3 linked regions of the Nothobranchius furzeri genome follow. The protein of the gene in region 1 purifies or fractionates together with the protein of each later gene. This does not show direct contact. Links are inferred from orthologs where the notes say so. Each region holds a gene or a part of one and is shown on either strand. Other genes may lie near its edges. The genes, in order: cand1, dcun1d3 and cullin-5.

What was found.
Region 2: the proteins of cand1 (region 1) and dcun1d3 purify together in Homo sapiens (affinity purification with western blotting; 3 studies listed by BioGRID, with this or other methods). This does not show direct contact. The link is inferred for Nothobranchius furzeri from reciprocal best matches to the Homo sapiens genes CAND1 and DCUN1D3.
Region 3: the proteins of cand1 (region 1) and cullin-5 purify together in Homo sapiens (affinity purification with western blotting; 8 studies listed by BioGRID and IntAct, with this or other methods). This does not show direct contact. The link is inferred for Nothobranchius furzeri from reciprocal best matches to the Homo sapiens genes CAND1 and CUL5.

What each region holds. Positions count from the first base shown.
Region 1 is NC_091741.1:34,350,170-34,353,816, reverse strand, and holds part of cand1 (cullin-associated NEDD8-dissociated protein 1), read right to left. Parts: coding exon 3,597-3,647; intron 1,906-3,596; coding exon 1,818-1,905; intron 1,744-1,817; coding exon 1,575-1,743; intron 1,487-1,574; coding exon 1,381-1,486; intron 1,315-1,380; coding exon 1,169-1,314; intron 1,001-1,168; coding exon 849-1,000; intron 779-848; coding exon 638-778; intron 240-637; coding exon 98-239; intron 20-97; coding exon 1-19. UniProt on the Homo sapiens protein: Key assembly factor of SCF (SKP1-CUL1-F-box protein) E3 ubiquitin ligase complexes that promotes the exchange of the substrate-recognition F-box subunit in SCF complexes, thereby playing a key role in the cellular repertoire of SCF complexes.
Region 2 is NC_091756.1:31,621,357-31,625,575, reverse strand, and holds the start of dcun1d3 (DCN1-like protein 3), read right to left. Parts: upstream 2,927-4,219; 5' UTR 2,542-2,926; intron 1,536-2,541; 5' UTR 1,469-1,535; intron 1-1,468. UniProt on the Homo sapiens protein: Contributes to the neddylation of all cullins by transferring NEDD8 from N-terminally acetylated NEDD8-conjugating E2s enzyme to different cullin C-terminal domain-RBX complexes and may play a role in the cell cycle progression by regulating the SCF ubiquitin E3 ligase complex, after UV damage.
Region 3 is NC_091750.1:28,012,529-28,016,765, forward strand, and holds the start of cullin-5, read right to left. Parts: upstream 2,889-4,237; 5' UTR 2,666-2,888; coding exon 2,639-2,665; intron 10-2,638; coding exon 1-9. UniProt on the Homo sapiens protein: Core component of multiple cullin-5-RING E3 ubiquitin-protein ligase complexes (ECS complexes, also named CRL5 complexes), which mediate the ubiquitination and subsequent proteasomal degradation of target proteins.

The sequences.
Region 1 (3,647 bases):
TTCAGAGAGAAGATGATGCCTGAAACCAAACGTGATCCTTGATGAGGTCATCGACGACAACCCAGTAACCCGAGGAGGAGGCTCCATGTGGGATTACCTGGTATGAGTACAGGGATGTGCTGGGTCAGCGCTCCCGGGAGGACATTCACCAGCTCAGTCAACATGTTGAAGCAGCACTGGCGAGTTTTCACACTTTTCTCCTTCAGCTGCTTGTGGAGAGCCTTAACGATCATGGGCACCTGCAGAGGGCGAGTGACATCATCAACGACACTTCCTGTTTCACCTGTCTGCGGTCCCCACAACAGGATGAGAGCATTTCCTGTCACCGTGGGAACCGGTGACTGGACTACCACACATGAAAGGCGCAGCAGTGCCACCTCCAGGTCAGGAACGGCACTGCGGCCTTACGCACCGATTTTACCATCTGCGGTTCAGAACCCTTCCGGTTTAGTTCCAGCTGGTTTTACTGGGAACCGCCCATCTCCTATAACATTCCTGTCAGATGTTTTACTAAACCTGTGGAAACGTTGCTAAGCAAAAAGGAGAGCGAGCGTTTTTGTGGATTTGTGCTGGGAGACGTCCAGCTGGGTTCAACCTGTCCAGACTTGCAGAGTTTGGCGGGACGCCGCGCTCTCACCTGGCTCTGCAGCATCGTTAGCGGCGTTTCTCCCTGCTCCATGGCGTCCGGATCAGCAAGCCAGCTCTGAGCCGGTCGGGTCTGCTTCAGCAGGGACAGGTAGGCGTGGAAAACGTCCGCCTTCACGTTCTCCTCTCGCTCCTGCACACAGGCGTCAGAGCATCAGGTCACGGCGGAAGGAACCTGTAGGTGTTTGGGTGTCTGGCGGTACCTTGAAGCGGCAGACGAGTGCAGGAGAGACCGAGCGATAGAACTCGGGCAGCATCTCGTGACGAGTTGAAACGACCGCGTCGAGACACTTGGCCGCCGCCCTGCGAACCTTCCAGCTCATGTCGTCGTCGTCGCTGTACTCGTCGTCGCTGCCTGAAACGATTCAGTCCAACATGAGAACAACGCCCCCTCCTGCTTCAGATCGGCACATTTCGGTTTGAATGACCAGCTTCAGCTGGGGGCGTGGCTTTAGCCCCGAAGCAGGTAAAACAGAGGGTTCGGACCAGCAGAACCCCAAAGTGTCCGGTTCTGGTTCAGTACCCTGATAGTCTTCATCATTCTGCTCAGCATCCATGGCGTTGTCATCCTCATCCTCATCATCAAAGTTGTAGTTGGGGTCGTAGGTCAGGTAGCGCAGGCAGATGGAAATGATGGTGGGAACGTGGGGGTAGACCTCTTTTGGACACCTGCAAATAAAAAGTCTTAAAAAGGGGGCGGAGCTGTGAAGAAACGCGGCGGGGTGTGGCCTCTACCTCCTGACGAAGGATTCGAAGGCCTGGATGCAGTACTCCCGGAGCTCGTCGTCGTCCACGTTACAGAACTTCACCACCAGAGGGATGATCTTCTCCAGGTACTCTCCTGAGCAAACGGGGCCAAGGTTTCCATGTCAGCTAGTTTTAGCGTCAAGCAAACACCTTCTACCTGTCCTGTCCCGTCTCCGTCTCACCAATCCTGTGTCCCGCCTGTCTGCTGATGGCCGCCGTGCACTGGATGTACGTCCTGGTGGTGGACATGTTGTCGTTCCTCCCCAGCTCCGCCAGGAGGTGCTCGATCAGGTCGATGAAGACCAGATTCCCACAGGACATCACCAGGTGGCCCAGAGCCATGATGGTCCTCTAAAGAGCAGAAGACAGCGAATCAGAGGCACCGTCAAACTCAGCACAACCTAAAGGTTAAAGGTCAAGCGCACCTTTCTGACGGCCAGTCTGGGGGAGGTGAGCTGGGGGAGCAAACAGCTGAGGATGGAGGGATGGAAGTTCACCAGCAGGCCGCCTTGTCTGAACAGATACAGAGAGAGCATCTGAAGGCTCAGGAGCCGTCTGCAGCTGTTCTGGACTCATCAGCTGATCAGAGAATATTCAGCCTTCTCACAATAATCTGGTTGTCTGAGGTTGTGAACGTGTGGTTTTCACCAGCTGTGAGCCACAGTCATCACAGCTGTAACAGATAAAGGCTGAAACATCTGGACTAGCCTGGGATGAGTCTGTCTCGGGTCAGCTTCACCTTTTAGACCCGGTCAGCGACTTAAATAAACTTCAACACCAGATTTTAGATTTTCAGCTGTAAACGAGAATCTGCTTCTCGTCACGCTAACGGAGGGATAAAAGTTATTATTCTAGGACAAACAGAAATAAACTCAAATCATAAACAATCCAGAAGCTATTTATATCAAAGAACCTCAAAAGATTTTAGGTTTTTTTTCTCCCCTAAAAAAAACTTGAGCAGAAGCAGAATAGGGTTGTCACGGTAACCGGTGTAGCGGTAAACCCCGGTAGAAAAGGTTGACAATAATAATAACCGTCTTGTTTTTAAAAACTAGATTATCTCGGTGGGTTACCGTGGCTGCGGTGTAGGCGCGGTGACCCTTACCAGCCACCGTATCATCTGCTGAAGTTGCCGGCGGCACATGCGCACTTTGTTGTTTACAACCAAAACTTTCTTGAAGCTAAAGCTGAAATAATGGCCAAAGGAGGAGACGGCAGCACTCGGGACATTTATTATCCCTCAAAGAAGACAAAGTGGGAAGTACGGGCATCTTTTGGATATCTGAAGAATGCCGAGGGACAGCTGATAGAAGACGGCTATCCTGTTTGCAGCACGTGCAGAAAAAGTGTCTGTGAAAGGCAGCAACGCTTCAAATCTCATGACACATCTGCGTGACCATCACCCACAACTCTACAGTCAACGCAAGGCAAGCTAACGTTAGCGCTTTAGCTAAAATGCGTGATCCGAGGATTTGGTTTGAGGGAGAATGCAACGAGTCGCTATATAAAGCAGCCGCAGCGCCGCTACCTGCATATAAACCGTGTCGCGGACACCGCCATGTTGAAATGACGCTATGCATTACGGGACTCCCAGGGGCAGATAAGAGTTGGTCTCTCTCCGAGAATAATTATGAATTTAACAACGATTACTCCCTGATGACATTTTCCCACATCTGCAAAGCTCACTGGAAGGACACAAACCGAGGACGATATTTTCCTGATATAGGGTTTATTACTCAAGTAAGGGTAAAAAAGTATCTGATTAGAAGTATACTTGAGTACTGAGTATCATCTGATCTAATATTTTTAAATGATGACATCAAACAGACAAAAAATAAGAAGTTATTGGCAAATATTGGTATTTTAAAGAGTAAAGGGAAAAAATGTAAACAAATAAACAACATAATTACAAAATAACACATTTTAGGCAAAATTTAGACACAAACTGAGGACAATATTTTCCTGATATACAGGGTTTATGTAGTTGTCTGAAAATGTAACACGTTTAAAAAAATCCCGCGATAATACAGAAAACCGTGATAATGTTGGTCACAATAACCGTGAGGTTAAATTTTCACACTGTGACAACCCTAAAGCAGAACCAGAGCGGAGGAGACGAGGTCCCGTCAGAAACGTTTCACCTCGTTTTATATTCAGTTAACAACTCATCATCCCATCAGGTCACCTGACACGTGCTTACAGACCTGCAGAGCATGTCGGCCATGATGTCCAGGGCCTCCAGCTGCACAGACACG
Region 2 (4,219 bases), on another chromosome or scaffold:
ACAAATGTCTGTATTTACCAACCTCTGCCGTACTAGTTCTTGCCGGTCCGCCATGTTTTTCCGCGTCCGACCGTCCGCGTGGTTAGAAATTTTCCGAGGTGCGCGTTGCGGAAATTCTGGGCCGTGCGGAGGCGCGGTGGAGGGGCGTGGTTGTTAAAATGACGCAAAATGACGCAACTTTTCCGTGCGGACCTCGCGGACGCGTCAAGCATAAACCAACCTTAACAGGTGCCACGCCGCATTGAAGCAGTCATTTCTGCAAAAGGATTCCCGACCAAGTATTGAGTGCATAACTGAACATAATTATTTGAAGGTTGACTTTTTTGTATTAAAAACACTTTTCTTTTATTGGTCGGATGAAAAATGCTAATTTCTTTGAGATAGGAATTTTGGGTTTTCATGAGCTGTACGCCAAAATCATCAATATTAGAAACATTAAAAGGCTTGAACTACTTCAGTTGTGTGTAATGAATCTAATATATATATGAAAGTCTAATGTTTATCAGTACATCACAGAAAATAATGAACTTTATCACAATATGCTAATTTTTTGAGAAGGACCTATATATAATGAGCCAGAATTGTTACAGTCTCTTGTAACACACAGGGCTTGTCTTCAGCTCCTGCAGGGTGGGTGTTAAAGAGAGCAGAGTAAAAATCTGTGTTATGAGGGATATGAATGATGTACAGATCAATTTCATTCCATCCACCCACACAGCTTTGTAGGTGATGTCTCATCAGACTGTGTGCAGTCCGTGAATGTAGGTAGTTACTGTTTAAGCTAGTTGAACAAGCTAATTACTTGGGTCATATCCCTTGAAGCCATGTCAGCATTTTGTGTAATCCTTTGACTGATGTGATGATGGGAGCCAACAGAAAAGTGTTTCTACAGTTTACATTTAGGTTAGAGCTAAACCTGATGCCTCATGTCTTGTTGTTGCTGAGATTATTGTTGCAGCATGTGAAAATAATGAGGGAAGTGCTTTAGAAATATGTCGCTAATGAAGTCTGGGATCGTTTAAAACAAACCTGCTTTTTCATAAAGGGAGAGTTTCCAAAGCCCTGTTTGTTGCATGTTTTGATTGTTTAACTAACTTTTATCAGTAAAACTCTAAAAAATTGATACGTAACTTTGCACCCAGACACAACAAATCCTGTGATCATTTTTTTAAAATCAGAAAGACATTCCATTAACATTTTTCAGACTGAATGCTCAACAATGCTTCATATATTTTATATTCTCATAGATGTGGTTGTAATTCATGAGTAAAACCAGATCAATCACTTTTTGTTTTTACTTGCAAACATCAATTTGGTAGTTTGTTTAATCTGTAAATGCATCATTTTCTTTCCACTAACCTAATTACTAAAACAGACATGGTTACCACACACACACACACACACACACATGATGTGATGACTTCATGCATTATATCATAAAAGAGCAGCTGATGACAATTTCACTTACAGACACTCCGTCAGATGGCATTGTCTTTCAGTTCTGCTCCATCATTGTGACCTTGAGATCAGCAACGCTGCAAAGACACATTATATTGTCATCATAAGCAGAAAGCAATAGCTCTTCATTCCCAAATCTGCAGGGACTATTTTTGTCAATACAAAGAGAAAGTCAAAACTCTCCTCTTGCAAAATAATTATTGGACAGTTTTAAAATACCCTAAAATGACAGTTAGAAGTCATTGTGCAATATTTACACAGTGGGGTAATCTTTCTGTGTCTCCACTTGAAGGGTTTCTGTACAACTCTTTGCTTCCACAAAGAAAGAGTCTCACATGTTATAATGAAACATAATTCACAATGCTTAATGCAAAATACACAGCTTTGATTTTTAAACCCAAACTCAACTCTGTTCAGATCATTGATAAAGTCACTAGTCATACATTAATAAGAAGAGTCAGGCTTCAGGGGCAAATTGCCAGTACAGATCAATGTCCTGGACATGTAGAGGCACGTCTCCCACACTTCTAACTTGGCCAACTTCAAGTCTCTGACATCAGATGGATGTCTAAAGGCCCCCTTTTCCACAATAAACAGGCATCACCGTGTAACACATCCAGACGTCAATTTAACTGGATTAGCTGGTCTTAAAAACTGTCCGAGGCGAAGAGCAGCCCAGATATTAAATTGTAATATCTGCAGCTATGTTGTCACCGAGCACGAGCTGCTGGGTTTAAAAACACACATCTGATAACGATGATCTGAATAAGTTATGCTTGTTGGAGACAGACAAGCTCTTGATCAGGATCAAGGGAGCTTAACAGCACATGTACAGCACTTCCAAATGAAATGTAAACACTGATTCAGTTTCTGTTTAATAGTCCGCTTAAACTGCTTAAAGTAGTCGGGCAATACTCGCTAATCGGTTACTGATCAACGATCCATCCTCGTCACCGGGCCATTTAAACATCCACATCTAAAGTGCCTGGCCCTGACCACGTCGACATAGCTAAAAGTTAGCTAGCGGCTATGCTAAGTCTTCTCCGGCTGACACAACGAGATAAATATCCTCAAAAAGCTTACCTTTTTAGGAAAACGTAGGCCGCGTCATTTGAATGTACATCACTTCATAAATGTCACTGAAAACAAAGGTGGGCAAATAAGTTGGCCGAAATACCAGCAGTAACGAACTGAGGCAAACTCGTCGTCAGATTGTTAGCAAACTAGCAGGCAGCTGACCAAAAGAAAAAAAAAGAAAAAACTTCCATAATAAAGTCGCACTCTATTCTACCTTTAGGGAATGATAAAATGATTAGCAGTCAGAGTTTGTATCGGAATTCATTTTTGTTGGTTCGCAGTTTAAAACAAGTTAAAGAGCCACTCTCGGACTAAGGCTGCCTATTTCTTTGTGCTTCCCCCTTTTAGTCATTGAACTACATTATGGACATTTTCCTGCATCACTTCCTCTGTCTGTGCTAACAGCCAACAGCTGATCTCCATCTGAGCGGGGGTGTCACACCGAATTCTGTCACCATAATAGTTTGGGACTTGACCGGGGAAGTCGAAAAATGTTTTTGTTTTGTTTTCCAGAGTAAAACACTGGATATGGAAAAACAGGAAACAGTTTGTACAGATTTATTTATGCGCTCATTTGCATTTTTAAAATGTAAAGACATGTGGTACAAGTGTATAAAAAACACATCTGCAAGCAGTTTTTTTATTTAATTTTTTAATTGGAGGGTAATTTTATTTGCATTGAGTAGCTTGGTTTAGATTTCACACACCCACACCAGTGGCGGCTGCTGAAAATAATTCTTGGTGGGGCTATGTGAAATATTTCCCTTCTTAGTCCACAATTATTAAAATGCACAGTTGAAAAATGACTACAACTGCGAAACAATCATTAATTTCCCTCCTTTAAATAAGCAGTTTTACAGATTAGATAGATTTTCAAATTTACAGCTAAAAAGACTATAATATCAATAATACTCAAATAAATGCACACGCCAATCATGTGAGCCTTTAAAAGCAACCACAGTCAATAATTTCCATTTCTGTTTTTATTTCCATTTTCTTTTGACAAGCTTGAGTTTTCAGTCTCCTATGTCCTATTTATCTCTCACCTGCTCATACAAAGCATGCACACCTCAAAGCGCAGCACTCAGTGCCACCAGTAGGTTTAACAGGACATAGAAACTGAATTACATATCCTGCTTTAAAGGCACATTTGGCAGTTTTGCTTTCTTTAGCACCCCCTAGTATTCGTTTCGTAGAACCAAAAGCAAAACACATCTCTTTGCTGTGCATTTGTCTTTTTAACACTTGAATCTTAATTGCTGAAAATCTCCCCAGCCTTCCTTTGTGTCTACATGAGCGATTTATCACTAAATCAAACAAATCAGCTGTGTTCATGATCTAAAACACGAAGGAAACAGGCTGGAAGCAGGCTGCAGCACCAAGTATGTCAGCTCTATTTTTTCTAAGCCCAACAGAGTAGACCGGCTTTCAATTCAACTTTGTTTTTCACCTTGTTAGTCATTTTCATTCCCACTCCTATTGCGTAATATTGTTTTTGAACGATTAAAAGTGCAGAGGACAAGAACTTACATTGAAAAAAGTGTGGGGGACACCCCCCATCCCAAAAAACAAACAAACAAAATTATAATAACAAAAACTACGTCCATTGTGTGTCATCAATGGAAACCTTTTGCCTCATTCACTTGGTGGGTCAGTAAGCTTAGAGAGCCAATTGTAATTTGAG
Region 3 (4,237 bases), on another chromosome or scaffold:
CCCTTTGTTCTGGTGAAAGAAGTAAAGGGAACTACATTACATCGCTCCCTGGACATTGTCATGTTTTAACTACCTGCCATTTCTTAATATTGGTTTCCAATTGCATTAATTCCAAGTTTATACCAGATTTTCTGATGATCCTTCAACTTTTAAATGACTACAAACTTTGAAAAATGACAACATGTGGTGCCTTTTAAGGAAATACTCATTAGAAGAATTACCTGAGATTTTTAGAACAAAGTGTAGCTTTTGACCAGTGGCGCCCCCAGAAAACTTTCATTGGAGGGGCCAGTGGAAATTTTGGGGTGGCACTCGTAATGAGTCCTTTTGGTAACTCTGGGGGAGTTTAGCCTGTAGTCATAGATTGTATTACCCCTTTGTTCTTTTTCCTAAAAAACAATAGCCCCATGCGTCTAACACACTTACCTCAAATTTCAGAAACACGAACCAAAAAAAAGACAAAAGTTCAAACATTTTTTGGGGTTATTGTTTCAAAATTGTACTGTTTAAGATTTTTAAAACTATTTCTGATTTTTACAAAAACACCCCCCAAAAAATTCTTAGGGTACGGTGCTCTCATCCTTTCGTTTCACCTTCTACACCTTGGACCTACACCTACTGCTGCGGGGGCAGCAGTAGCTCAGGAGGTTGAGCGGGTTGGTTGTCCAGTAATCAGAAGGCTGCAGGTTTGATCCCGGCTCCGGACAGAGAATTCTCCTGTTTTGTCCTTGGGCAAGACACCTAACCCACCTTGCTTGCTGGAGGGGGTCGGAGAGATCCGGTGGCACCCGTGCTTGGCAGCCTCGCCTCCGTCAGTGAGCCCCACGGCAGCTGTGGCTACATCCTAGCTCACCCCACCAGCATGTCAATGTGTGTATGAATGGATGAATGAAACACTGTAGTGTAAAGTGCTTTGGAGTCCTCAGCCAACAATTTTCCAAAGGTGGCCATGGCACCCTCTGGGCATCCTTTGGGGGCACCACTGCTTTTGACAAACTTCTGGAACAAGGAGGAAACTCTGCCTGCCAAAAGTGAAACCAACGCCAAAGTGACAAAAACTGCTGTGCCCCCCTCATCCACTAGGGGCTGGCTCCAGAAAGGAGCAAGTTCCCATTGACTGCCATGCCAACTTCACAGCAAAAATAAGCAAGTTTACAGTCTGGTTCAAAAAACATTTTAGGTTTAATAGGTCAGGTTTACCACCATGACAACTCTGAAGGATGTACATTTAGTTTGCAACTCATCCACTTAGATGTAATAAAATTGAATTTATGAATACTTATGGCTGGGGCGTGTCTATTTAACTGACATGTTGCTCATCCTGCTTGCTCTTGGGAGGGCCTCAGCCTCACATTTAGTGTGAGCCTATAAGGCAAAGGTAGCAGAGGTGCTCAGCCACAGTTTTCTGGCTAAATGCACCTCTGTTAGCTTCGGTTAGCTCATAGCTACATCAGTCCAGAGTTTGACGGCAAATGGCCTGTCTTTGGTATAGCACCTAGAGTCCTAAGCCCCTCCAAGGCACTTTTCAACATAATCAGTCATTCACCCATGCACACACATGTTCACACCCTGGTGGTGATGAGCTACAATGCAGCCACAGCTACCCTCGAGTGCAGTAACAGAAGCAAGGCTGCTGAACATTGGCACCACCAGCAGGCAATGTGCTTTGCCCAAGGATATGACAACAGCAACAGAATGAGCGGGACTTAAACCTGCAACCTTTTAATTAAGGGGTTGACACTTAACTCCTCTGCCACCATCACACTACCCTTGATGGTGTCAGCTGCCCCCACCCTCTCAGCACCATTTTAGTTTTTCTGGAAGGGATAAGCCATGTGACGCAGCCAAGGTTCTGGTGGTGGGAACTGCCCACTGGGCTGCAGTTCAGCTCTTTAGAAACCTAGGGTTGATGGCGTGGAGGGTTTGTCAACTATATAAACAGCCAATGTGCTGGAATCACAGTAAATAAAATTACAAGCTATAATTTGTAGTAGTAGCGCCAACATCTGCAGGTTTTGTGCATGACTGATGATTAAAAAACAAAAGTTTGAGATATTTAACTAAAATGAGAAATATTTATCAAGATTATTTGAGGGAAATGTAAAGAAATGGTTTTTTAGGGGATACTTTGAAACTCTGGTTGAAGATTTATTTCTGGAACACATTGTAGTCACTGGATACGATGTTATGGTTTTCCAGATGGATTTTTTACGAGACAAAATGCGCAGATATTCGCTTGTCTGTTGCTCCATGTGTCTTAAAAGGCTGCAGACCCCTGAGCTGCTGAATGACATATGATATTAGGCTGTCGAAGCCAGTGGTCATGTTTCGGCGCTACATGAGCTATTTAGCATCTGTCATTATCTGTTTCCGTGACCTGCTTCATTGTTCCTGCTGTTTTTGAAAATCCGCATTTATCTATGTTGTAAGGCTTCTCTTTTAGCCAGTGAAAAATCTCTGACAAGCAGCTAAATGTTAGCCTGATGTGACTTAACTACCACCAGCTAAAGTCAACACTGACGGTACAGGTGCTGTGAACAGTCCATTAAAGCCGGATTTAAACGCTAGCATCACATAATACAGAATGACAAGCGCTTAAGTGAGCGGCGAACACCAAATATTGAATCGCAGCTCCTACCTTTAGCAAATTAGACGGCGCCGCCATGTTCCCTCAACTTATCCTCTCGAAAATTCTCGCGAGAATGAAAAATGGGGTCTAGCTGTGAAATTCTGTGGTGAATAAACGTTGAATCTGTAGTCCTTCGGCAATTTCTGAGGCTACAAACTGAAACAGAAGAAACCTGAACTGCGTGTTAATGAGTGAGTGTGTGTATGACCGATTGGGTTGTAAAGACGAGGCTGAAGCATATAAATATACGGGCTGAAGTTAGCTTCCGATTCGAGAAACGGCTAAAGGGCCATTACACCCAATTTTTCTCTACTCTGACCATCTTTAATCTGCTCTAGCTCAAAACAACGCCCACGCTATTTAAACCTGTTCTATATTGTTCTACTATAAAAGCAGATCAAATAAAACACAGTGTGGGATTTGTGAAACCTTTTCCTGATTTGTGAAATTTCAACAACGCCAGATTTACGCGTTTTTTCAGCAACTGGCCAACACAGCTGTAGCTCAAGATGTACAGCCCCTACACTATTCAAACCTGTTCTACATTATTCTACAATAATAGCAGATTGCATACAACCTTGTTTGGGATTTGTGAAACCTTTCCCCAATTTGTGAAACTTCAACAAAGCCAGATTTATGCGTTTTTTCAGCATGGAACAGCTGTAGCTCAAAAACTACTACAGCCACACTGTTAAAACCTGTTCTAGATTATTCTGCTATAATAGCAGATTGCATACAACCTTGTTTGGGGTTTGTGAAACCTTTACGTGATTTGTGAAACTTCAACAAAGCCAGATTTATGCGTTTTTTCGGCATCTGGCCAACACTGTAACAGCTGTAGCTCAAGAAGTACAGCCCCTACACCATTCAAACCTGTTCTACGTTATTCTACTATAATAGCAGATCAAATAAAACACAGTGTGGGATTTGTGGGACCTTTCCCTGATTTGTGAAATTTCAACAAAGCCTTAAAAGATTGGTCTGCGCATGCCCCATAGTAGCACATGTCAACGAGCACGGATAGTCCGACTATCAAGAAAATATGCCTCCAAAACAATTCCTCCGCTCCTCCATTGTTCTAACAGCGTAGTCTTTTTCTCCCGGGCCTGGAGTGGTCTAGCTGCAGTCGCAGCCACTACAAACTACGCCCCCTACAAAACACTCCCCTATGGCCCCTACAAAACACGCCCTTACAAAATAATAATAATAATAATACATTTTATTTCAAAGCGCCTTTCAGGACACCCAAGGTCACTTTACAGAAAACACGTAATAAAATACAATAAAACAATAATAAAACCCAAACAAGAAAAAACAAAGAGAGAAACAGTTCAATAAAATCAGAGGTTGTAGGCAGATTTAAACATGTGTGTTTTGAGTTTTGATTGGAAAAGGGTAAAACTGTCGATGTTCCTGATGTCTGGGGGAAGTGAGTTCCAGAGTCGAGGAGCAGAGCGGCTGAAAGCTCTGCTCCCCATGGTAGCGAGACGGGCAGAAGGAACCGCAAGATGGATGGAAGAAGAAGATCTGAGTGAACGGGATGGGGTGTGAATACTTATAAGGTCTGAGATATATGGAGGAGAGAGGTTGTGGATAGCTTTGAAGGTA